Callithrix jacchus: one gene and its partner. The protein of the gene in region 1 binds, or shares a complex with, the protein of each later gene. Links are inferred from orthologs where the notes say so. Each region holds a gene or a part of one and is shown on either strand. Other genes may lie near its edges.

The links.
Region 2: the proteins of FBLIM1 (region 1) and FLNC are in contact, whole or in part, in an NMR structure (PDB 2K9U), measured with the Homo sapiens proteins. The link is inferred for Callithrix jacchus from reciprocal best matches to the Homo sapiens genes FBLIM1 and FLNC. Residues at the interface, in NP_001337080.1 of Homo sapiens: Arg8, Val9, Ala10, Ser11, Ser12, Val13, Phe14, Ile15, Thr16, Leu17, Pro19; in NP_001449.3 of Homo sapiens: Thr2339, Ala2344, Gly2345, Gly2346, Leu2347, Ser2348, Ile2349, Ala2350, Val2351, Glu2352, Gly2353, Pro2354, Ser2355, Lys2356, Ile2359, Phe2361, Asp2380, Glu2382, Phe2387.

What each region holds. Positions count from the first base shown.
Region 1 is NC_133508.1:53,089,482-53,101,859, forward strand, and holds the start of FBLIM1 (filamin-binding LIM protein 1), read left to right. Parts: upstream 1-4,635; 5' UTR 4,636-4,730; intron 4,731-6,229; exon of another isoform or gene 6,230-6,350; intron 6,351-6,578; exon of another isoform or gene 6,579-6,613; intron 6,614-6,764; exon of another isoform or gene 6,765-6,818; intron 6,819-11,842; 5' UTR 11,843-11,897; intron 11,898-12,295; 5' UTR 12,296-12,315; coding exon 12,316-12,378. UniProt on the Homo sapiens protein: Serves as an anchoring site for cell-ECM adhesion proteins and filamin-containing actin filaments. Is implicated in cell shape modulation (spreading) and motility.
Region 2 is NC_133512.1:118,338,970-118,350,741, forward strand, and holds part of FLNC (filamin-C), read right to left. Parts: intron 10,265-11,772; coding exon 10,016-10,264; intron 8,452-10,015; coding exon 8,354-8,451; intron 8,216-8,353; coding exon 8,065-8,215; intron 7,979-8,064; coding exon 7,860-7,978; intron 7,629-7,859; coding exon 7,551-7,628; intron 7,364-7,550; coding exon 7,201-7,363; intron 7,036-7,200; coding exon 6,835-7,035; intron 5,531-6,834; coding exon 5,393-5,530; intron 5,005-5,392; coding exon 4,878-5,004; intron 4,728-4,877; coding exon 4,591-4,727; intron 4,392-4,590; coding exon 4,198-4,391; intron 4,109-4,197; coding exon 3,995-4,108; intron 3,331-3,994; coding exon 3,187-3,330; intron 2,977-3,186; coding exon 2,853-2,976; intron 2,760-2,852; coding exon 2,599-2,759; intron 2,326-2,598; coding exon 2,235-2,325; intron 2,147-2,234; coding exon 1,977-2,146; intron 1,769-1,976; coding exon 1,651-1,768; intron 1,563-1,650; coding exon 1,300-1,562; intron 915-1,299; coding exon 317-914; and 1 more.

The DNA of each region.
Region 1 (12,378 bases):
CCTATTTGTCTAGAACACTCTGTAACACCCAGAAGTTCCCAGCCTTCATAGGGGCCATGGGAGTGAGGCCATGAGCATAAGTTTTATTAACTCCACAATAAGCCCACCTCTGGCTAAGAGAGAAGGGGAGACCCACAGAGGTGATGGCAGGTTTCAGGCCACATTGTGCTTTAGTAAGGAGGGGGCTCAGGGCTTGAGGGTGCGGAGATAGATCAGCAAGGGCGGATGCTGGGATAGAAGCTGCTGGGAGTGGAGGTTCCCGCTGGGAGTGGAGGTTCCCGCTGGGAGTGGAGGTTCCCGCTGGGAGTGGAGGTTCCCGCTGGGAGTGGAGGTTCCCAGTGGGAGGGGGATCGAGGAGGCAGCTGGGGTCAGTGAGGGTTTGGAGCTAGCTCAGGGACCTTCCCAAATAAGGGACAGAGGGGCCCTGACGGGGATGGCCTAGGGTGAGGAGGGCCCCCTCAGTCAGCTGAGCCTCAAGCCCTTCCTTGGCCTGTCCCATACTTCTCACACCCCACCCTGGAGCCTGTGCTGATTTGCTGAGTGGACAGCCTGGTCGTGGGAACCAGCATGCCTGGCCAGAGCCAGCTCAGGCCCCTAAACCAGTAGGGGATTAATACCCAGACAATATTGTCACAGCCAGCTCTTGGGAACGTAGGCTCTGCCTGGGCGAGGCAGTTGGACACAGGCTTAAAGCCTTAGAGTGGACACCATATGGCTCTAGCTGCGGCCTGGTCAATTCCTACTCGGCTTTTTTTTCTTTTGGTGGAGTTTCACTTCGTCGCCCAGGCTGGAGTGCAGTGGCACAATCTTGGCTCACTGCAACCTCCACCTCCTGGGTTCAAGCAATTCTCCTTCCTCAGCCTCCCAAATAGCCAGGATTACAGGTGCCTGGTTTTTTTTTTTTTTTTTTGAGATGGAGTTTTGCTCTGTCACCCAGGCTGGAGTGCAGTGGTGCAATCTCAGCTCACTGCAACCTTTGCGTCCAGGTTCAAGCGATTCTCCTGCCTCAGCCTCCCGAGTAGCTGGGATTACAGGTACTACCCCCAGCTGCCACTGCCACGCCTGGCTAATTTTTGTAGTTTTAGTAGAGACAGGGTTTTGCCATGTTGGCCAAGCTGGTCTCAGACTCCTGACGTCATGTTCCTCCCACCTCGGCCTCCCAAAGTGCTGGGATTACAGGCATGAACCACCATGCCTGGCCTGGCTTTTTCTTCAAGACAAGGTCTTGCTCTGTTGCCCAGGCTAGAATGTAGTAGCATGATTGATCTTCACTCACTGCAACCTCCACTTCCAGGGCTCAAGTGATCCTCCCACCTCAGCCTCCCAAGTAGCTGGGACTACAGGTGTGCACCACCACACTTGGCTAATTTTTTTGTTTTATTTATTTATGTACTAATTTATTTTTTAGATGGAGCCTCACTCCATTGCCAGGCTGGAGTTTAGTGGTGCAGTCTTGGCTCACTGCAAGCTCCATCTCCCGAACTCAAGTGATTCTCCTCCCTCAGCCTCCAGAGAAACTGGAATTACAGGCACATGCCACCATACCCAGCTAATTTTTGTATTATTAGTAGAGACAGGGTTTTACTGTGTTGGCCAGGATGGTCTTGATCTCCCGACCTTGTGATCTGCCCGCCTTGGCCTCCCTAAGTGCTGGGATTACAGGCCTGAGAGACCACGCCTGGCCTATTTATTTATTTTGAGACAGAGTCTCACTGTCACCCAGGCTGGAGTGCAGTGCCACAATCTCAGTTCACTGCAACCTCCACCACCCAGATTCAAGCAATTCTCCTGCCTCCACCACCCAAGTAGCTGGGACTAAAAGTGTGCACCACCACACCCAGCTAATTTTCGTATTTTTAGTAGAGACAAAGTCTGGCTCTATCACTTAGGGCACTTAGGAGTTCAGTGGGGACATCTCGGCTCACTGCAATCTCTGCCTTCTAGGTTCACGAAATTGTTGTGCCTCTGCCTCCTGAGTAGCTGGGACTACAGCTGCTTACCACCACACCTGGCTAATTTTTCTATTTTTAGTAGAGACGGGGTTTCACCATGCTGGCCAGGCTAGTCTCTAACTCCTGGCCTCAAGTAATCTGCCTGCCTGGGCCTCCCAAACTGCTGGGATTACAGGCGTGAGCCACCGCACCCAGACTCATGACTATTTATTTAGAACAAGGAGAAAAAGCACAACATCTCAGAACAGTTTACAGCTATGTTCAGGCAAAAAAATAAATAAATAAAAGAAGAAGAAGAAAAAAAGAAAAAGCACAATAAATGACTGGAGAAATACAATTTTTTTTTTGAGACGGAATCTTGCTCTGTCACCCAGGCTGGAGCGCAGTGGCGTGATCTTGGTTCACTGCAACCTCCACCTCCTGGGTTCAAGCAATTCTCCTGCTTCAGCCTCCTGAGCAGCTGGAATTATAGGCACACGCCACCACACCTGGCTAATTTGTATATTTTTAGTAGATGTGGGGGTTTCACCATGTTGGTCAGGCTGGTCTGGAACTTTTGACCTCATAATCCACCCACCTTGGCCTCCCAAAGTGCTGGCATTACAGGCATGAGCCACCACGTCTGGCCAGAAATGCAATTTTAACTGGTTTAAGAAAAAGTAAGGAGCCTATAATCACAACCAGCCTGGCCAACATGTTGTTACCCTGTCTCTACTAGAAAAATACAAAAATTAGCCAGGCATGGTGGTATATGCCTGTAGTCCCAGCTACTCAGGAGGCACAAGAATCACTTGAAATTGGGAGGTGGAGGTTGCAGTAAGCCAAAATTGCACCCTTGTAGTCCAGCCTGGCTGACAGAGCAAGACTCTGTCTTAAAAGAATAAAAAACAAAAAGGGAAAAAATGCATTGATTCTGCAGGCCTGGTAGTAGGATTGCAGGCAGGGCTGGATCCAGCAGCTTAAGTGATGAAATCAGTTATCTTTCTCTATCTCTTTGCTCTGCTGTCCTCTGTGGGGGTCCAAGTGGGGGGCGAAAGTGGTGCCAAGCTTGTATTCTGCCAGCCAACAAGCCCAGAGAGCTTATCTTAGAACTAACAGCCACCATGATTGGCTGGACATGGGTCATGTATACATCTGCAGAGTCAGAGGATGTAGGAATCTCATCTTTTATTGATTGATTGATTGAGACGGAGTCTTACTCTGTCACCCAGGCTGGAGTGCAGTAGCATGTTCTCGGCTCACTGCCACCTCCGCCTCCCAGGTTCAAGTGATTCTCCTGCCTCAGCCCTCCTGAGTAGCTGGAACTACAGGCGCCCACCATCATGTCCAGCTAATTTTAATATTTTATAGTAGAGACGGGGTTTCACCATATTAGCTAGGCTGGCCTTGAAATCCTGACCTCGTGATCTGCCCCCTCAGCCTCCCAAAGTGCTGGGATTACAGGTGTGAGTCATCGCCCCTGGCCAGGAATCTTATCTTAACCCCAGGCATTGAGAGTGAAGGAAAGGTTCCCCAAACAGAAACAGTGCTGTTATCAGAATCTGGGAAAGCAGTGCTGGGCTGTCAGGAGCCATGGATGTGCCTTGGATTCTCTTGCAGGACAAAGTCGCGTCCTTCTCTTCCTTTCAGCACTCTGTCCCTCTGACTACAACTTCTATCCTTTATGTGGTAGGGAGAGCTCAGCTTTGAACACCTACTGAGCACCAGGTATTTTTACCCATATTTACCCCACTGGATTCTTGCTATGAAGTCACAAGGGACAAACCTGGGTTTGTAACTCCTCAGTTGCAAGAGGAAACTGAGGCCCAGAGAGAAGTGATTTGCCCAAGGCTGGCAAATGGCAGAGCTGGAGTCACTCCCAGATGCTGATGTTACTCACAACTGTATCTGTGTCCCCATCTGACGCCTCCACTATGGGGGAGCTCCCTCTTGTCTGTGCTGCTCCTCTTCCCACCCTGCCTAGCACAGGACCCCATACGCAGCAGCACCCAGGAAATAAGCATTGGACTGACCTGACTCCAAGCAGGTAGGCAGATGGAAAATAAGGGATGGAGTAAGGAGCTGAGAGGCCCCAGGGGCATCTGACCTTTAATAAAGTTCCCCTCTGTCCCTATTCTCACACTGGCTCCTCTCCATCTCAGCTTAACCCTCCTCACCTCCTCAGAGAGGCCTTCCTGCCCATCCCTGCCCACCCCCACTCATGTTTGTCTCAGCCCCTGGTCCATTCCTTCATAGCACCTTTTACTATTGGTCATTATCATGTTAATATGCCTTATGGTTTGGTCTACCCAATCTCCTTGTAAGGTTTGTGGGGACAAGGGCTGATCATGTCTGACTTGATCCCACTGGCTCCTTGACTCATGCATTGCACACAACAGTGTCTGCAAAGTCAAAGTTCTCCATTGTGGATGGCAGGTGCCACCCCTACCCTGGCAAGCACACTTTCCCTCAAACCTCTCGCCCACCCATTCCCTGCCACCCAGGGCCTCTGCTGCCACCATCCTAAGGGAAGGTTGAGCCCCTTGCTTGCTGGGGCCATCTGAGTGGGGAGAAAGCCGATGCGAACCTGGCAGTGACAGCAGAGGGCAGCAGGGCTTCCGAGCTGGCAGACAAAGCGCGTCTGTTCTTGTCCAGTGCACTTCCTGGGTTTCCATTGCAGGAAGTTTGGCACCTGCTGATAGGTGACATCGACACCTGGGCTGCTGCAGGCCAGGATGCACTCCTCCATCTGGGAGTGGTGGTGGCAGTCGAACAGGCGGCCAAAGGTGCTGGAGGCAGGTAAGCAGAGGCAGCTGGACCCTCATTCCCTTTGACCGTCCCAGAGCAGATGTGGGAGGCCTGGGTCCTAGACTGAGTCAGTGTGACCTTGAACAAAGCCCCAGTTCAACCCTTCGGTGCCCCACTCTCCCATCTGGGGGTGCAGGTGGCTCAGGGGATGTCATGGAGGTGACGGCGGGCAGCTCCACTTTTATCTCTAAAATAAACTCCTGGGTCATCAAGCACTTGGAAAGGGGTTCTACAGCCAAAAGTCCCTGAAAACCCCCAGATCACACCAGGGTCCTTCCTGTCTCTGGCGTTCGGTGTTTCCCTCCCAGTGGAGGGTATGGGGGAAGTCTCCTCCAAAGGGTACTGCAAAGCTTGGGGGCTGGGAGGAGCAGGGTATCACTGCCAAGCCAGGAATGAGCCAAGGGGGGACTCAAACAGCCTTGAGCTGCAACCTCGCCCTGCTGCACAGAACTCTCACCACCTCCAAGCCCCAGCTTCCGAATCTGTGAAGGGTGGCAGTGGTACCTGTTCCTGAGACTAGCAGAGCTGTGTGCCCAAGGACACAGCGGCTCTGGTTTGAATTCAGCTCTGTCATTTGCCCCTAGTGTAGCCTCGGGCCTCTCGGGGCCTCCGTGTCCTTGACTGTGCAGAGGAATTATCAGCCCTGGCGCCCAGGGCTCTCGTGGGATTGGGAAGGGGATGAGGATGGGCACCAGCACCTAGAAAGCCCCCACCAAAGGCAGCTGCTGGGACTGCTGCTGTTACTGCAGTTCAACTGTGAGGATCAAATGGGAAATGGGGTGACAAGAGGGATGGGAGGGGCAATGATTGGTGGGAGAGGGCAAAGGCACCCTCCTTCGAATATAAACCAGCCTCCCTCAGAAACAGTCCCAGAGCCACCCTGGAGGGGTGACTGTAGCTGTGAGGCTGCAGGAGAGGGCCAGATGCTGCCTGGCCGCCCCACAGATGGCGCTGGGTCCAGCGCTCCTCCAGACTCAGCCACTGTGGCTTTAATCAAAAGAACAATCTGCCTCTGAATCAGACCCAGATTCCTTTCGCCACAATGCTCCTGAGGGACCCAGGCGGCTCATCCCAGCCCCATCCTGGGCCCCAGAGCCAGGCTCAGCCTTCCCTCCCCCTACCGTCCTAACTGCTCCAGCTAGGAGGGAGAGGGTCACTGGAGGTGGAGGGAGGGGTTCAGCCACTGGGCCAGCTGGGCTCTGCCTTCCAGAGCTCCTGGAGGGGCCTGTCCCCCAGGACACCGGGACCCACCTGCAGAGGGCTTATACCTCAGGACAGCAGAACAAGGTGACCTGCTCCACTGGGAGGTCTCTGAGACCCCCACCCGCAGGGGCACTCCTAGAAAAAAACCCCAACCCGGCATATATTAACCTCTATTAATCACAGTCCTGGCTGTGACTGTCACCTTTTATCTTCAGGCCAACCTGGAGAGGTAGGCAGTGGCTACTCCCACTTTACAGATGAAGACACTGAGGCTCAGGAGGTGGAGTGACTGCTCCAGGTCTCACGCTTAGTGAACGGCCGCAGAACCCTGATCGGCTTGACTCGGGACCCTGGCGGATCCTAGAGGCAAAGTGGGGTGTAAGAGCTCACCTACGCGGGACAGGGCAGGTGGGGGCGTCAGCCCAGGAAAGCAAGGGAAAGGGCAGGGCAGGGACCACGAGGGGTCCATAACGGACACGAGGGGGTGGACAGCGGGGAGGGAAGGAGGCCCACCCCCACTCCCCATTCCTCGGCCCCCACACCCCTTCCCCCTAACCCCCACCCCCGGGCCTGGGCCAAGGGGGAGGGGAGGCGTGGTCCAGGAAACAAAGGGAGGGGGAGGGAACGGCGCGGGGCGCGGCCGAACTGGTTGTGGGGCGGGTAGGGGGCAGGTAAGAACCGCTTCTGCGGGGCGGGAATCCCGCGCCCCCTCCCCACCGAGCCTCACCTTTTATGGTAACGCGGCGCGGGGCGGCGGGGCGGAGGGAGCCGAGGGGGCGGGGAGGGCGGACGGGCGGAGGGGGCGGGAGGCCCCGCAGCTCCGGACTCCACTGGCTCGGGCGTCGGATCGGAGCCGCAGGGGTGCGGGCAGCCCAGGTAAGGGGGCCGGGTGGGTGAGGGAGGCATTCCTCCGTCCCTGCCCCCGTCGCACACAGGTGACAGCGCAGGCAGCGCTCGGCCGGAGCCCACCCGGTCCCCAGCCGGGAGTCCCGGCGCGGCGCCCTTGGAGGGGCCTGCGGGTGGGGGGTGCGGTCCTCACGTCCTTTGCGTCCCCGTCTCTTTTATTCTCTGTCCCCGGAGTCGGGGGTCGGCGGGTCCGGGGCGAAGGCTCAGTGGGGGCGGCGGAGGGTCGAGTCCCAGACCTGGAGCGGGCTCCGGGAACGGGCACGCTGGGCGGAAGCTCCCGCACAAAGGGCCGGCGTCCCGCACATGGATCGAATTAAAGCCCCGGCGGTGACCCCGGCGGCCTCCCTGCTCGGCTGCCTGCGAGGGCCCCGCGTTTCCGGAGCCCGGGGGAGCTCCGGGCCCCTTTCCCAGCCAGGGTCAGGGGAGGGGAGGGACGGGCCCCGGGGCTGCCCCTCTCTGGGCCTCATGCGCCCGTCGGGGGCTGAAAAGGAGCGGAGCTGGGCGATAGGTGTGTGCCCTGGGGCGATCTTGGCGTCCGCCCCCACCCGCCATCTTCCGCCCCGACCTGAGGACCCCCGGGAGAGGCTGGGGCCGCGCCCAGATTCCTGTTCTTAATGACGGTGGAAGCTACCTCCTGGTCCTGGAGGCACCCCCAGCGGAGCCCAGCCCCAGGCCCTTTTCCCGCTCAGCCGCTGCATAACCTTCTCTTTGCGCTTTCCAAGGGCCTCGACCCTGAGCCTTCTTTCCTTCTATATACTCTCAGCCGCCTTTAGGACAGGCTCATTCTCACTTTATGAAAAGAACGAGGCCAGAGAGGTTCAGTGACCTGCGCGAGGTCACCCCGCAGGAAAGAGGTGGGGCCTCTTGTGAACCCAGCTCTGTCTCCTCTGTTTCCCTGGGGTGGGAGAGAGGTTGAGGGAACCCCTCCCCAAGGCTGCTAGGTGGGAGGAGTTGGGGCACAGCCCGCCCCGTCCCCATCTCGGGCTAAGTTTAATTCCGGACCCAAAGGTAGACTGCTTTATCCAGTCATTAAAGAACAACGCTGAAGCCGGGTGTGGTGGCTTGCTCCTGTGATCCCAGCATTTTGAGAGGCCAAGGCCGGCAGATCACTGAAGTCAGGAGTTAAAGACCAGCCTGGCCAACATGGTGAAACCCTGTGTCTACCAAAAATACAAAAATCAGCCAAGTGTGGTGGCTCATGCCTGTGGTCCCAGCTACAAGGGAGGCTGAAGCAGGAGAATTGCTTGAACCTGGGAGGCAGTTTCAGTGTGCCGAGATTGCACCACTGCACTTGCCTCTGGAGCAAGACTCTGTCTCAAAAAAAAAAAAGGAAAACGCTTAGAGGTGGTCCCGGAGGTTTTCTTTTTTTTTTTTTTTAGGAGTAGGAAATGAATGGGGGTGGGGGGGTCCTGAGGTCCTGAGCTGCACATCCTCTGTCCCAAGGCTGCAGCCTCTAGCTGGTCTGGGTGGCTGGCTGGATCCCAACCTCCTTCCTAACTTTGGACAGGAAATGACTTTCCCTCCCTTTGTCCCCACTTTCTCCACTTATCTAACTGGATCTCTGATTCACCCTCTCCGGGAGGAAGAGTGAGGGCAGAGGGTCCCCTGGGCAAGGGAGACTGCCCCTGGGGAACTTACACACATCCTGCTGCTCCCGCCACACACACACACCCTGCTCCCAACTGATTGGAGGGCAGTGGGACCGGAGGGAAGCCAGGGCTCCCTTTCCCGATGGGATTGACAGGGTTTTGAAACTCCCCAGCTCAGTCCCTTCCCCTGGGGCCTGAGGTCCCTGCAGTCACTGCTTGAGAGGGATGGGGGCTGCCCAGATGTGAACATCTGGCCTCCGTGCTGGACATTTTCCGAGAAACCAGGCATATCTGACTTCCCGGAGGAGTGGAGGAAGGGTCAGGGCTGGGTGGGAGGAGGCAGAGGGCCATCTCAAAGGCCCACAGCAGCCCGGGGGACCAGCCCAGAACCTGCCGACCACAAGATTTCTGGATTGGGTCATTCTAGAGTGAGAACAGGCCTGGCAACTTGGGGGGCCTTGTGCCATCCAAGGAAGGAAAAGTGTGTCCTCTCAGGTATGGGGACACCCTGGATTTCCAGGTGGGATGATGTTTCATTAGAATTCTGAGAGCCATGGATGGCCTGGGAAAGTCACTTAACCTCCTGGAACCTCATAGGCTCCATCTGCAAAGTGGGGCCAGGATGGGCCTTTCTTGCAGCTAGATTGAGAGGCTGGTGGGTTTTGAGGCACATATAGTACCTGGCACAAGGCCTGGTGCCTTATCAGCGAGTTGTTCAGTATTTCTTTAGATCTCAGATGCACTCTGAATATTGTTGACAGAAAACAGATTCTTAAACTTACAACAAAGTGTAAAACTAAAGCCCGTGACAGCCAGCCTGAGCATACATACTTCCAGACACCATTGCCAAACCCAGAAGCTAAAGAGAAGTACTTTTAAGTAAGTTTTGAGGCTCTTTCCTAATATATTGATTTCTTACTCAGAATAAATACTTTATTATCAGACTGGGCTATATGTTTTAGCCAAACACATAAACCAACTTAAGAGTAATTCAGGAGCACTTCTTACTGTTTTTATTATCCATCAGTCACTGAGAACCCACAGTGGCCAGTGCACAAAGGACAGCCTGAAGAGCGAGATAGAAAAGGACACTTTTTTTTTTTTTTTTTTTAATAGAGTCTTGCCCTGTCATCCAGGCTGGAATGCAATGGCTCAATCTCAGCTCACTGCAACCCCCACCTCCCAGGTGCAAACAATTCTCCTGCCTCAGCCTCCCAAGTAGCTGGGATTACAGGCACCCGCCATCACGCCCAGGAAATTTTGTTATTTTTAGTAGAGACGGGGTTTCACTGTGTTGGCCAGGCTGGTCTCGAACAGCTGGGATTACAGGCATGAGCCATTGTGCTCGACCTAAAAAGAGACGTGTTTTAGCCCTGGGCACCACTGTTGCAGGCCTGGTGAGGACATCTGGGTTCACTGGACTCCCAAATCTCCCACCATGTCCCCACCTCAGCCTTGGCTGCAGAGACTACTGTCAGCAGGAACTACGTGACATATGGGAAATAATGCCCTTTCCTGACATCAGGATGTCAGGGTGCCACCATGCTCTCAGATCTGTTTTGTTTTGTTTTGTTTGTTTGTTTCAGACAGAGTCTCCCTCTGTCGCCCAGGCTGGAGTGCAGTGGCGCAATCTCAGCTCACTGCAACCTCTGCCTCCCAGGATTCCAGCAATTCTCCTGCCTTAGCCTCCTGAGTAGCTACAGGTGCAAGCCACCATGACTGGCTAATTTTTGTGTTTGTCTGTTTGGAGACTGAGCCTCCCTCTGTCGCCCAGGCTGGAGAGCAGCGGAGCAATCTCAGCTCACTGCAACCTCCACCTCCTGGATTCAAGCAGTTCTCTGCTTCAGCCTCCTGAGTAACTGGGATTACAGGTGCCTGCCACCACACTCAGCTAATTTTTGCAGTTTTAGTAGAGGTGGGCTTTCACCATGTTAGCCAGGCTGGTCTTGAACTCCTGACCTCGTGATCCACCCCTGCCTTGGCCTCCCAAAGTGCTGGGATTATAGGCATGAGCCACCGAGCCCGGCCAAATTTTGTATTTTTACTAGAGACAGTGTTTCACCACGTTGGCCAGGCTGGTCTCTATCTCCTGACCTCAAGTGATCCCCAGCCTCTGCCTCCAGAAGTGCTGGGATTACAGACGTGAGCCACTGCACCCGGCCAGATCTGTGCTTTGATGCCTGCACTGTGAGCTACCCTCTAGGCACAGAAAGAATTCAGGTACTGCTGAAGGTCACACATTGATAGTGAGCTTGTGAGCCAGCCTGTCCTGCCCTGGGGCTGTCATCTCTGTCATCGCCCTTGGCAGCAGAAACCACCCCTGGAGAGAGCCAGGAATCAGGAGGACCTTGTGGAGGAGGTGATGTTTGAGCTGGGCCTCTAAGAGAAAGCTCAAATTCACCCTGTGGGGGCAGGAGAGGAAAACCGTAGAAGAATCACTCCAAGGCCTGAGAGAGGATGCGGGAAGGATGAGTGGTCCAGGGGCTCCTTCTTCCTAAAGCCATGCTCTTTTTCTTTTCTTTTCTTTTTTGAGACAGTATCGCTCTTGTTGCCCAGGCTGGAGTGCAATGGTGTGATCTTGACTGACTGCAACCTCGGCCTCCCAAGTTCAAGCGATTCTCCTACCTCAGCCTCCCAAGTAGCTGGGATTACAGGAATTTAGCACCATGCCCAACTAATTTTATATTTTCAGTAGAGATGGCGTTTCTCCATGTTGGTGAGACTGGCTGGTCTTGATCTCCCAACCTCAGGATCATCCACCCACCTTGGCCTCCCAAAGTGCTGGGATTACAGCCATCAGCCACTGCATCTGGCCTTTTTTCTTTTTCTTTCTTTTTTTTTTTTTTAAGACAGTCTTGCTCTGTTTCCCAGAGTTGAGTGAAGTAGAAGTATGTACGTTCTAGAAACATCAATCTTTAGGGTTAGGAGGTGAGACCAGAGGCCGTGGAGCCTCCCCATCTCTCCCCTTGCCCGCTGCCCCCTGCCCAGGCCTGAACCAGGACCAGGGTTTTGGAGATCGGGTGGAGTGAGAGATTCCGGCACTAGAAGGCAAGCATGGAGGGTGCTGACTCGTGCACTGGGCTGAGAGGGCAAGGCAGAGAGGGCAAGGCAGAGCAAAATGGCCAAGGGCATGGGCTCTGGGTTCCAGTGCCACCTCACCACTGTGTGACCCTGAACAGTGACTTCTCTCTGAGTCTCGATTCTTGATGTGTTAGGTGGGTGATGATAGTGCCTGCCCCACAGTCCCTTCTGAGGGTTTATGAGTTAACGACCATAACGTGCTCAGGGAGGATCAGGTCTCAGTGAAGACAGCTCTCGCTGAGTCCTGCCCACCCCACCGCCCCCCGCCAGAGCCCAGCCCTGACACGCTGACAGATCCTAATCTGTTCTCTTTCCCTCCCAAAGTGGAGCTGTCCTGAACCTTCCGGACTTCAGCCTTTCCAGGAGAATCAGATCCCAGGTGAGGGAGGTAGCTTGGGGTGTGGCCCAGCAGGCAGGTGGGGCTCCAGGCTGGGAGCTGAAGGATCTGTTCCTTCCTCATGGGTCTTAGACTCAGGGTGGCAGCTGAGTGCCTGGTGAGGTGATCTGTGCCCTTTGCACCCCTTGGTGTGAAGGTTGGGGGGAGGGGCAGTCAGGATTTTTGGGTCTCACCCCTATGGCCAAGTACCCTGATGGGCCCCTGCCCTCCCCAGCAGGATACTCCCACCCCTTCTCTGGCTGGGCTGGGTGCTGGACTGGGTTGTTGGCATGGTGGGGTGGCTGACCTGTCTTTTTGTGGGGAGGGAGGCTCTCTGCCCTCAGGGAGTGTGTCTGTGTGTCCAGGTGGCAATCCTGTGCCATCCCCCATTCTGTCCCTAGCCACACCAGGAGCTGAAGCCATGGCCTCAAAGCCTGAGAAGAGGGTGGCGTCATCTGTCTTTATCACCCTGGCACCCCCGCGC
Region 2 (11,772 bases), on another chromosome or scaffold:
TGGCTCCTCCAGAGCAGTTTCAGCTTTTTGGATCAGGGTACCCCTTAAGCAGATGAAAGAAGGAATCTCCCCAGAAAAACGCCCAGAGGCACGTGCAGTTTTGCCACAAGAGCAGAGGCCAATCTCCACCCCTTGGTCTTCCCGTGCAGTCCTTCTTTGGGGTTTCTGTGCCAGGAAGGACTCTGGGGCTGCCCGAGAGCCCTCCCTTCACCCCAGGTTGTTCTCCCGGCCCTCACCTCTGCTTTCCTCCCTCCCACCAACTACCTGGCCCCTGGACCTGCCACTTGACCTTGCCCAGCTCCTCCTGTCCACTCACCATGTGGCTCAACACCAGGCCCCGAGACCTTGACGCCACTGGTATCGACCGCGGGCTGCACGTGGACTCGGGTGGGGAATTTGGGCACAGGATGCCCACCATACTTGATGGTGATGGTGTAGGTGCCGGGGAAGGCGGGGCTGTAGGTGATGTGGTAGGTGCCATCCGCGTTGTTGTGGATCAGCACCTCAGCCTTGACACCAGCATCTGACAGGATCTCAATGGTCAGCTCCGCCTCGCCTGCCTCTGAGCAGTCCACAGTGAAGGTGGCTGCCTCCCCGGCCTTGCCGCGCTCCAGGCCCGGCCCACTGGCCCGCACCTTGCTCGGGTCAAACACAGGCCGGATGGTGGCTTTGAAGGGCGAGCCGGGGATGTGGGCTTCGGCAAATAGGATGTTGATGGTGTACTCGCCCGGCTCCGTGGGCAGGTAGCTGACAGCACAGGAGCCATCACCATTGTCCTGGCACTCAATCTTGGCCTCGCAGGGGCCCTCCACGGTCAGCCCCAGGCCACCTGTGCCAGCCCCTTTGGTATCAATGGAGAATGGTGCGGGAGTGCCGACCAGTCCGCCCTTGAGACCGGGGCCGTAAGCACAAACCTAGGAGGAGAGGCAGGTATGTGGGTTCTCTGCACCTGGCCTACCCATCCCAGACAGGGCCCCCCCAGCTCATCACCTCCAACTGTGGCTGCTACTGCGGCCTGAGTGCTTATAATAATTCCAGGTGACGACCTGGAGGCAGCGAGATGCAGCAATCTGTCCCAGTTAGTGGACCTGGGATTCTAGCCCAGGTCTGACTCCAAGACCAGGCTCTTAATAGCTAAATTGTCTTCAAAGCAGGGGGTGGGGTGGGGCTGGCCTTGGCCCCCATGTCCTTGGCTGTGCCCGCTCCAGGCACACAGTCCGTCTGGCCTCTGCCCCTGTGACTCGTCCATCTTCCCAACAAGTCCCCAACTCCAGCCCCAACCAGCTCCTGTCTCCTCACCTTGGAAGGATCAGGGGGCAGGACACCCTCCACAGCAAAGGGGCTGCCAGGCACTGGGTGGCCGTCGTAGGTGATGTCCACCTTGTAGGGCCCCTCCTCGGGGGGCATGTAGCGCACAGCCTGGGCTTCCATGCCCCCGCACGGCTCCAGCTTGCAGGGGATGGGCCGGCGAGAGGGTGAAGTCATCCGCACGTCCAGCTGGCCCTGACCGCCAGCCCCTCGTGTGTTCACAGAGAAGGCTTGTTCCTGTCCCACGGCCACCTCTGCATGGAGGGCAAGTGACACCATGAGGAAACTGGTCTACCCCACCCAAACAACCCTCATTCCCAGGGTGGCTCTTGCCTCACTTACTGCTGTTGAGGCCCTGAACTTTTATTTTGCTGAGGTCCAGTGGGGGTGCCACATTCACCACAAAAGGGCTCTTGGGAACAGGGTCCCCGCCATAGGTCACTGTCACTGCCATGTTGCCCTGTTGGGTACAACAGTAGGTCAGAACGGGGTGTAAGGCACGGTTCTGCAGCAACCCGATGGTGAATCTGAAGCTCAGATCCACCAAGAGTGACGGCAGGAGGCAGGGAAGGCACGGAGGAGCCAGAACTGGTCCCATGGGACTGGAGAAGGGAAACCCAGGGCTCCGGCAGCCTGGCCGGGCAGGGTCGTGGGAGGGCAGAGCGCACCTGCTGGACAGCGGTGTACTTGACGGTGTAGGAGTAGTCATGGTTGTCAATGATCTCAAAGTCCCGCACAGCTTCGCCCTTGGCCGTCCCCGCAAACTGCACGTCCAGCTTGGCCTTGCCGGCTCCCTTGGTCAGCACCGTGAAGTGTGTGGGCTTCCCAACTTCCACACCTGGGGAGCCACGCAGAGATGTGGCAAGGGCCTGGCAGCCACCTAACCCCAACCTTGAGTCAGCCCCAGCCCCTGGTCAGACACCCACCTGTGCGATTCAGCCCAGGGCCCTCAGCCTTGACCTTGCTGGCATCATGGGATGGGTCTACCTTGATGTGGAAGGGGCTGGCGGGGATCTCCTGGATGTGGAAGAGGCTCAGTCAGGGCTCTTGAGGGGACCACACCCCTGCTCTGCGCTAGGTGCTGGCACAGGATGCCCCAGGGGACCCAGCAAGGACAGGGGCAGCCCCCAAAAGAGCTCCCTTTGCTTTCTCTTCAGCACCCTGCCTCACATGGGAAGGGCTCCACCATGTCTGTGAAATAATCCCTCCCTACCCCAAGTGACAGCATCTCCAGCTGCCTTCTAAAGCTGAGAGGTGCAGGCTGCTGTGACTACCCAGGGGCTTGAGTACCTGGTTGGCAAACAGCACCATGATGGTGTAGCGTCCGGCCCCTGGGGGCGTGTACTTGACCGTGAAGGTGTCGTTGTCATTCTTGATGATGTCGAAGTCGATGTCAGCCTCTGCAGGGCCCACCACGCCGGGGGCGCACTTGATGCCGATGCTCACGTCGCCTGCAGGGAGGCGGGCACCGCTGTGAGTAGGGCTCAGACTCCCCTCAACCGCCCAACACCCCAACCGAATCCACCCCTTCTGCCTGGGCGCACCTTGCCCCGCCTCGCTGCAGTCCACGGTGAAGTAGGTGGGCTCGTTGGCTTTGAGGCCCGTCTTCTCCACGCCAGGGCCGTACACCTTCACCCGCTCAGGGTGGCTGCCCTCGCCCACGTTCACCTGCGTGGGGGTGGGGGGAGGTTTCAGCTTAGCATGGTCCCCTTCCTCAAGGTTCATCTTTCTGCCCAGCATACCTGGCCCAGCCTCAGCGGCACCAGCCCAAGCCTCAGTTCCAGCCTGAGCCCAGGGACAGCCAGGGGCTCCAGCGAGGGGTCCACCCTCCCTTGGGGACCCCTGGCAGTGGGCACGGGGCAGGTTGGGAGGACGCACCCGGAAGGGGCTCTTGGGCACGTTTACGCCTCCCCAGGAGATGATGATGGTGTGCTTAATGGGCTTTGTGGGCACATAGGAACAGCGGAAGGTGCCATCGCCGTTGGGGATCACCTTGATGTCGATGGGACAGCCGTCCGCGTCCTGTGGGCATCACCGGAACAAAGATCACAGCTGTGGCCTCTGCAGAGCACCCTCTGCTGGCCACAGGTGGACCCAGAGCCTGTTTTCCCACAGCCAACAGGCTGGCACTCCCCACCCCCACACCAGCCACTGAAGCCACCTGAGCCCAGGCCCATGTGCTCTGGTGGCCAGAGCCCACCCTAGGAGCCTGGAGGCATGGCTCAAGGCCATCTGTGTGGCTTGCTTTCCCAGCCTAGGTTTCCTCATCTCTGAAATGTGTTGGACCGGAAGAATGTGGGCTAAATTTATGTTCCTAACATTGAATAATGGGCCTTTTAAAGAAGAACCACCCTCTTAGATCCTCAAGAATATGTTCATTAACCTCCAGGGGTCAATGGACACCAGTGTGACTTGAGAAACCAATGTCTTATTCAATGAAACAATCTTTCAATTACAAATTAGCACAAGTGACTCTTTGGTGAAATACGTTTTTAGGTTATGATCTATAAGAAAACACAAAATTTAAAATTTTCCATGGTACTGATGGGCCCATGTGAATCAGTCCTGCCTGATCTTCTGTGACACTATCATTTCCTGCTGGGAGGCCTCTGCCTCTGGCCTGGCCCTGCCTTCCAGGGTCCCTGCCATGGGTAGTAAGGGCTGCAGAGACTGGGCAGTCCCCCACCTGTGCATAGAGCTTCAGATCTCCCTTGCCAGCTGCACGGGCATCAATGGTGAATTCAGCAGGCTTGTCCACAATGCAGCCAGTAGGCTCCAGGCCGGGCCCAAAGGCCTTCACCTGTGCAGAGGGAAGAGGGCTGGGTTGGGGACTGGAGGAGAACCAGCTCGCCCAACCCCTGGAGCATTGTACCAGAGCTGGGACCATACCTTATCTGGGAAGCAGTCAGGTGGGGCAGGCAGGATGTGGGCAATGAAGGGTGAGTCTCGGATGTCCTCATCGTCACAGATGACATGCACAGCGTACTCCCCAGGCTCTGTGGGCCAGTACCGCACATCGCAGGAGCCATCCCCCTTGTCGTCACATTCGATCTTGGCTTGTGAGGGCCCCTCGATGGAGAAGCCTGGGGCAAAGTGGGGGAGGGTTGGTGGGTCCAACATCTGGCAAGACCCTTCCATCCCCCAGCTCTCCTCTGGCCTCCCTCATGTCTGAGCTCCCTGCTCACCCCAGGGCTCCCCAGCATGCGCACTGCACCCATTATCCCCAGTGACCCCCGCCACCCTCCCCCAAGCACTTCCTCCTCCTGCCTCCCAGCTACTTACCCAGTGTCCCCACCTCGGTGCCAATGGCTTCCACCACAAAATCAGCTGACTTGCCCACCTGACCAGTCTCCAAACCAGGACCCCAGGCCCGGACCTTTTGCACTCCTGCCTCTGGGCTCACCTGTACCTCAAAGGGGCTAGGCAGAGAGGGAGCTGGTGTCCATGCCAGGAAGTGACCCTCCAAGGCCCCCCCTTCATCTCCCCTCAAACTCCCCCGCAGCCTGCTGCCCCTCATCCCTTCCCGTAATGGCCTAGATGGGACAGCACGGGGGACTCAAGGTACTCACCTGCGAGGGATGGCATAGCCGCCCCATGTGATGGTCACCACATACTTCCCAGGCACCACCGGGTAGTACTCGCATTCGAACACACCATCCCCAGCCTCCCGAATTTTCACCGGCTCCTCTGTGCCCTCTGAGGAGGTGGGGGTGGAGTGGGGGAGAAGGCAGATCAATATCCTTGAAGTCCCAGCTCCTCAATCCCCTCAAGGAGCTCTTGGGACCCTGGCCCAGCCCGAAGGCAGTGCTCTAGTGGGCAATGCTCAAACTCAGGGCAGGTACCACTTGTCATCCCCGTGCATAACACCCCGTACAGCACTTAGGGTGGAGAGAATCATTCCTGGCTTGCAGACTCAGAAACTGAAGCAGAGAGGAAACAATGTGTGTGAGATTCTGGGGTGCCGCTGGTGACTGTGGAGCTGTGGTGCTGGCTGTCACTGCCCTCTGGGAGGCAGAACCATTGGCCATATTTACTCCCTGATTCCCCCAGCCCCACCCCCATGACCCTGGGCTCTGGCACTCACTTGGCCCCTTAACTGTGACCTTGAGCTCCCCGCTGCCGGCACCCTTGGTAAACACCTTGAAGTCAGCCACCTCTTTCACACGAACACCCTTGGGCTGCAGGCCTCGCCCAGAGGCACGGCAGGCATTGGGGTTACAGGCTGGGAGAAGAGGAGAGAGGAGGTTGGGGGTGTTGAGGGGCCTTGGACAGAGGCTCAGCCCCCATCTCCCTGGGCACAGTCCTTCTAACCCCTCCCAGGCATAGGCCCCAAGCCCACAGCCCTGCTCTGGAGCCCTTTGTGCCCCCAACACAACAGGGGCTGCTGGGCTGGAGCTGGCTACAGGTCCCAGACCAGACAGACCACAAGAAAGCTTCTGAGCCAATGCCACTGGGGAAATGCATGGCAGAGCTAGGCTGAGAGTGGGCTCAAAGAGACAGGGAAGGCTCCTTTACCCACCCCAAGGCTTCTAGAGCCCTCCATGCCCTCTCAGAACACCAAAGCAACCTTAGGATCTAAGTCATGCCACAACACATTCAGCAATGCCGTGGAACAAGAGCTGCTTCAGATAACGTGAAGCATGCCACAGAACACAGGCGATGTGTGGAAATCAGCTTCCCACAGACGGTGGCCAGTGGCAATGAGCCCAGACCTTGCCACAGAACACAGGCAAAGGAATGGGAATCTCAGTCTGCCACAGGATCCAGGAAATGGCATGGAACCCACGGGTGCTACAAAACACGACGACACATATTCCAGAACTACCATGACCATAGGCGATGGCACCACCCAAGGGGGACCACAGAACACAGGCAATGCCTCAGAACCCAGATTTCATCACAGAAATCATCAGGCAAGTGGCAAAGACACTAGACCTGCCACAGAACACAGAAAACACCATGGAACCTGGGGCCTGCCACAGAATGCCACGGAAGGGGGCGATTCCACACTGCCCGGGTCATGCCACACAGCACAGGTAAGGCCAGTCAGCTACGGCCAGGCCCGGCCCCGCCTCCACTGGAGAGCACTAAAGTGGCACCACTCTCTTGGCCTGGTGGATGATGGGCACTGAGTGCAGGGAGAGAACAAGTGGGGCAGTCATCACCCGAGGGCCCGGTGTGCGGGCAGCACTCCCCAGATACACCCCCACCCGTACGGCCCCATCACTTCCACTCAGCCCTCCCAGGATGGAATGTGTTTTGAGACCCTTCAGTATGGCCCCCATCCCTATTCTTAGGGACTCCAGCCATCTTGGGGGTGAAGTGGAAGGCTCAGAGAGGGGGTCTCTGCAGAGCCCCTCCCCAGCTCTTCCTCCTGTCCCTTGCAAGCCTCAGGCAGCTGCGCCCCTCTGCCCCACGGTGTGAGTGCTTCATGTCCCCCCAGTCCTCAGGCCTGGAACTTGTTGGCAATTCTCTGCATCCTGGCTTGGGTGAGAGCTACCGTGGGGAGCGGTGAGGAACCCTTACCTTCCGCCACGTGGACAGGGAAAGGACTGCGGGTGATGGGGGCACCCGCAAAGGCCACATGCACAGTGTGTGGCCCCTCCATGACAGGTCTGTATGTGCAACGGAATGTGCTATCACCCTTGTCCTCCAGGGCCACCTCCACTGTGTCCCGCCGGCCCTGCGGGTCCACGATCACCACGGCAACATCACCAGTGCCAGCCCCTGCCACAAACAGAGGCCATCAGCACCACTCTGGACACACACATCTGCCCCGGTGCCCTCACCCTGAGGCTGGTCACCCTCTGGCTGGTATCCCCACCCAGCCCCCCACACACAGCCCCACACCGTCAGAGGCTTTCTTCCTGCACCCCCTGGGGCCCATCCTACCGGCAGTGTAGATGTCAAAGTAGGTGGGTTTGTTGGCCACGTTGCCCACAGGTTCCAGGCCAGGGCCACGGGCTGACACCTTGTTGGCATCCCCCAGGGCCATGCCCACATTCACCTCAAAGGGGCTGCGTTCGATGTTCTGACCAGCAAAGAGCACGGTCACCTGGGGTCAGAGGTTAAAGGTTAGCTTTTAGGGGAGAGCCGTCCGAGATGGGGCAGAGGGGCACAGCCACGCCAAGGAGGGTGAGAGGCAAGCAGCCAGGGGCGAGATGCAGACTGAGAGAGGGGTCCATGCAGCCGGAGCCAAGGACGTGAACAGCAGGACGTGCAGGGGGCCTCAAGGGAGATACCTTGTGTAACCCAGCAACCTTGGGCACGTAGGAGACAGCGTAGGTGCGGTCCTTGTCATTGTTGGGAACCACCTTGGCCTATTGGGAAGGACAAAGATTGGAAGCCTCTCCAATGACTGTAGTCCCTCCTGACCCCACAGCGCCTTAAGCACCCCAGCCCCACGAAACCCCCATGGCGACGCCTTCTCCAGACTGCACAGCACAGTATGTAGCTCTGGCAGTCACTTCCGGGCCATTTCTACTGTTGGCCCTACACTCTCTGGTTCCAATCCCAAGCAAATTCCTCTGTCCCCGGCAGCCTCTGCATACCTCCTCGGTGTGGCCTTCGGGGTCCTCGATGTAAACCAGCACCTCGCCCACGCCGGCGTCCACCGTCTGCACGGTGAAGTGGGCAGGCTGCAGCACGGTGTTGCCCTGTGGCTCGATGCCTGCGGGGCGGGAGCAGAGCCCAGGTTACTCAGGGAGCCTCTGTGTGCCCAGCCCCCTAGCAGGGCCACCAGGGGCTCACACGTACCAGGACCATAGGCAATGGCTTTCTTGGGGTTCAGCTGCTTGGATCGAACAGGGGCACCAGGTTTGAGCTTGGCCTTGGGGAACTGGGACAGGTAGGTCATGACAGAATGCTCATCCACGTTGGGGTCCACAATCTCCTCAGGGGCGATAACCTGTGGCGGAAGGGACTGATGTCACACGGCGCCCTCTTTTCCCAGCAGCCCCAGTGTCCCCCTGCACCTTGGCCAGGTATCCTTACAGACCCAATCTCTGCCCCTGCCCCCTGCCCGCTGCCCCATCTGTGTGTGTACCTGAGGCACCCCAAGCCAGTCGTCAGCCTGCTGCATGGCTTCCCGGGCGTTCTCTACAGGCTGGTTGGGATCCCAGGCCTCCCAGTCAGGGCAGAGACCTGGAGAGGTGATGGAGGGAGACGATGGTGAGGGACAGCCAGCCGGCCAGGATGCAGAGCATTTGTTCACCCCACACCCTCGGAGCCTGTGGCTTCACGCCCCTTCCCACCAGCTCTAGGCCCTGACCAGCCAGGTTCCTGCTGACCCCATCAGCTGTGAGGCCCCTCACCACATAGGGGCACGACAGCCCTCCCCACCACCAACAATGAGGCCTTTCTGCCCCGGCTGACGCAGCCTGGCACCAGCCCTGCTGGCCGGCCTCCTGCCTGCCCAGGCCCCAGCTCAGACCTTGAAGCCCAAACCCTGGGAAGGTACCCCTCTCAGATATCTCTTGCTCATTCAGCTTTCTCAGGGTAGGCAGAGGAGGTCAGAGTGCCTGTCCCATATACGCCCCTGACATTCCCTAAAAGGCCTCCTCACCCTACTCGGAAGCCCTAGATCTCCAAGCACTTTCTATACCAGTCTGAGGGCATAAGACTCCCTATTCCTTCTAACTGCCCACATAGGGAAACTGAGGCATCTCCCCTGTGGGGAGAGAACGACTTCTCCTCTGCAGCCCTCAGGAGCCCTGCCCTCCTAACAGGAAGGATGCCGAGGCAGCCCCAGATCACTCCTATGAAGGGTGCAGGTGACAGCGTGCTTGGTTCAGGCCAAAGCTGGAGGAGGGGGACAGCACACATTTCGGGGAGGGGGCCGGCTCAAGGCTGGAATCCATGACTAGCTGGAACAGCTGAGCTCACTGCTGGCAGCCACACCAGCTATGGGCCATGGCTCAGCAGCTGGGAATGCTTCCCGGGAGGCTGTGCCCCCGCCTCCCACCCCCTGCTCCCCAGCTGACCCCAGGGTAGAGGAGGATTGTCCAAGGGCCTGCGACTCCCAGAGAAAGCCTATCTTTTCGGGAAATGAGGGGCAGAAAGGGAGCTGCCCATGGGATATCCTCTAGCTAGTGATGCCTGGGTTTTTTTTATGGCCCCTGAGCTCCCCTCACTTGACCAGGCCAGGACCTACATGGAGAAGGGGCAAGGCTGGGTCACCTGCTACTGGGCAGTACCCCACTGACCTCATCACACATCAGCCTGAGCCTCAACCCCTTGTCAAAGCCATCCCAGGGTCTCCCAGAGAAGAGACTTCTCTGGGTCTAACTCTTGGTCTCACTACAAGTCCCACCACACTGTCTGTCTCCCAGCTCGGCAGGAATAGTGCCTTGTGGCACAGTGAAAAGTTCACGAGGCAGAGAGTCCAGGCCCTGGGCTCTAGGTGGCTCTGCCATGGATAAGCTGTGTGATCTTCAGTAAGTCACTGGCCCTCTCTGGGCCATGGTGTCCTTGTCAGTAAAATAAGGGGTAAAATAACCTCTCCCGGCTCTGTGAAATCTGGCACACTTTTCAGGTAGGGCCTGCCACCAGCAGACAGCCGCAGCTGGAGGAGGGCAAACCCCGCAGGAATCCTGCCTTCCAGGCCCCTGGGTGTGCATCCTGACAACCACGGGCCTTGGCAGCCCCAGCTCGGCCCCTCTGTCTTTGAGACCTAAGGGCTCCATGCTGTGCTCGCTGGCCCACTCACCGGGGGCGCAGTTATCCACCAGGGCACCCAGAGCTTTGCCATCCTGCCAGTCACGGTTGAAGTTGGTGATGGGCAGCTGGGGCACCTTGTTCTGGATCCAGCCGAGCAGTCGCTGCTTGGGCGTCTGTTTGCGAGCATCCTCATCATCCTCATCCTCCCACATGGGCATGGAGATGGAGTAGTGCAGGATCAGCGTCCAGATCAGGCCCAGGATCAGCTTCAGGTTCCCATCCACGATGGCCTTGCTGTCTGCAGAGGGGAGGGCACAGGCAGGCTTAGAGTCACCCCACCCTCTCCTGCCCCAGGGCTCCCTACCTCACCTGCCCAGCTCCTCAGCCAGAGCCCTGGGGTCAGGTCTCTCGTCTCTGCTATCCATCCCTCTCCCTCCTGAGAGGCGCCACTCAGATGCCAAGTCCTTTACGGGGCCTTTCCGGTCAGAAGGCCGCTTCTCTGTGTTCCTGCGGTTCTGGAAGCTACCCTCACCTCTGCTATAGCACGTGAGTCTGCCTCCTGTCTGTGTACTTATCTGGTTTCTGTCTGGCCTTGTGGAATTATAAGGCTCCCAGGGCAGAGCCTTTTTGTATTGTTAACAGTTCTACTGAGGTATGCTTGACATACACGCTACGTCAACTGCACACGTTAGGAAGTGAAGTTTGAGAAGCTTTGACACTATGGATATCTCCACAAAGCCATCACCACATATCGAGAATAATAAAGGTACCATCCATCACTCCCCAAAGTTGCCTTGCTCACACCCCTTTGTGAGCGCTCTCTCCTGCTGCCCTTGTCGTTCCGTTCCAAGCAACAACTAATCTGCTTTCTGTCGCGATAGATGCTTTGTATTTCCTAGTGTGTTATATAGGTGGAATCACACATTCTATACTCTCTTTTTTTGTCTGCTTTCACTTTAGACACTAGGTTTTATCTTTCTACAATGAAGGTCTTGAACTTAGTAAGGACTCAATAAATAATGGTTGAATGAATGAATATTTTAAACTGGAGTGGAGTAGGACCAGCTTCCACTCAGATTCTACCCTGAATGCCAGAAAGAGCTTTAGAAACCAAGGGGTTCTGATAGCAGGGTAGGGGTGGGTGGGTGGGGTCTAGTACATTCTCAGTTAAGGCTTGGAAGTCACGTTGTCAAAGGCTGGGGGCCGGAGGGGCTCCAGGAGCTGACACACTCCACCCCTCACCTCCTTTGAGGAATCCTTTGAGTCAGAACTGGTTCCTCAAGATTTGGGAGGGGGCGCTAATTCCCCCTTGACAATCAGAAAGAAATATCCAGAAGCCTGGGGTGGCCTAGAGAGTAGACAGATCTTTGGAATTCAGCTTACTTGTAAAGGGCAATGAAGTTCTGAAATCTATCAGCTTCCCAAAGCACTGCTTTCAGAAGGCTGGAAATGGGTGGGAGACTCGGTCTTGTTTACTGATGTTGCCCGAGTGATGGGAGAGGGTGGAGTGGTCTCCCCTCCCACTTCTTCTCCCCTCCACCCTTCCCCAGACCCTGGGGCAGTGCCTGAGAAATCCAGGGCATCCCCTGCCCCACTCCCACCTGCCCCGGGAGGGCTACCTCAGTCTCCCTGTCCCTCTGGCTGGGGCTCTGGCCTCCTGGGCTACCCCACCCTGTCACTGATTCATCCTTCCTTCCCCAGCAGCTCCCCAGCCCGCCCCCTTCCCCTGGATCCACTGCAGCACAATGGTTTGGCAGCTTTCAGATTCCATGACACACTCACTCGCTGCCTCCCGGTGCTTTCTCT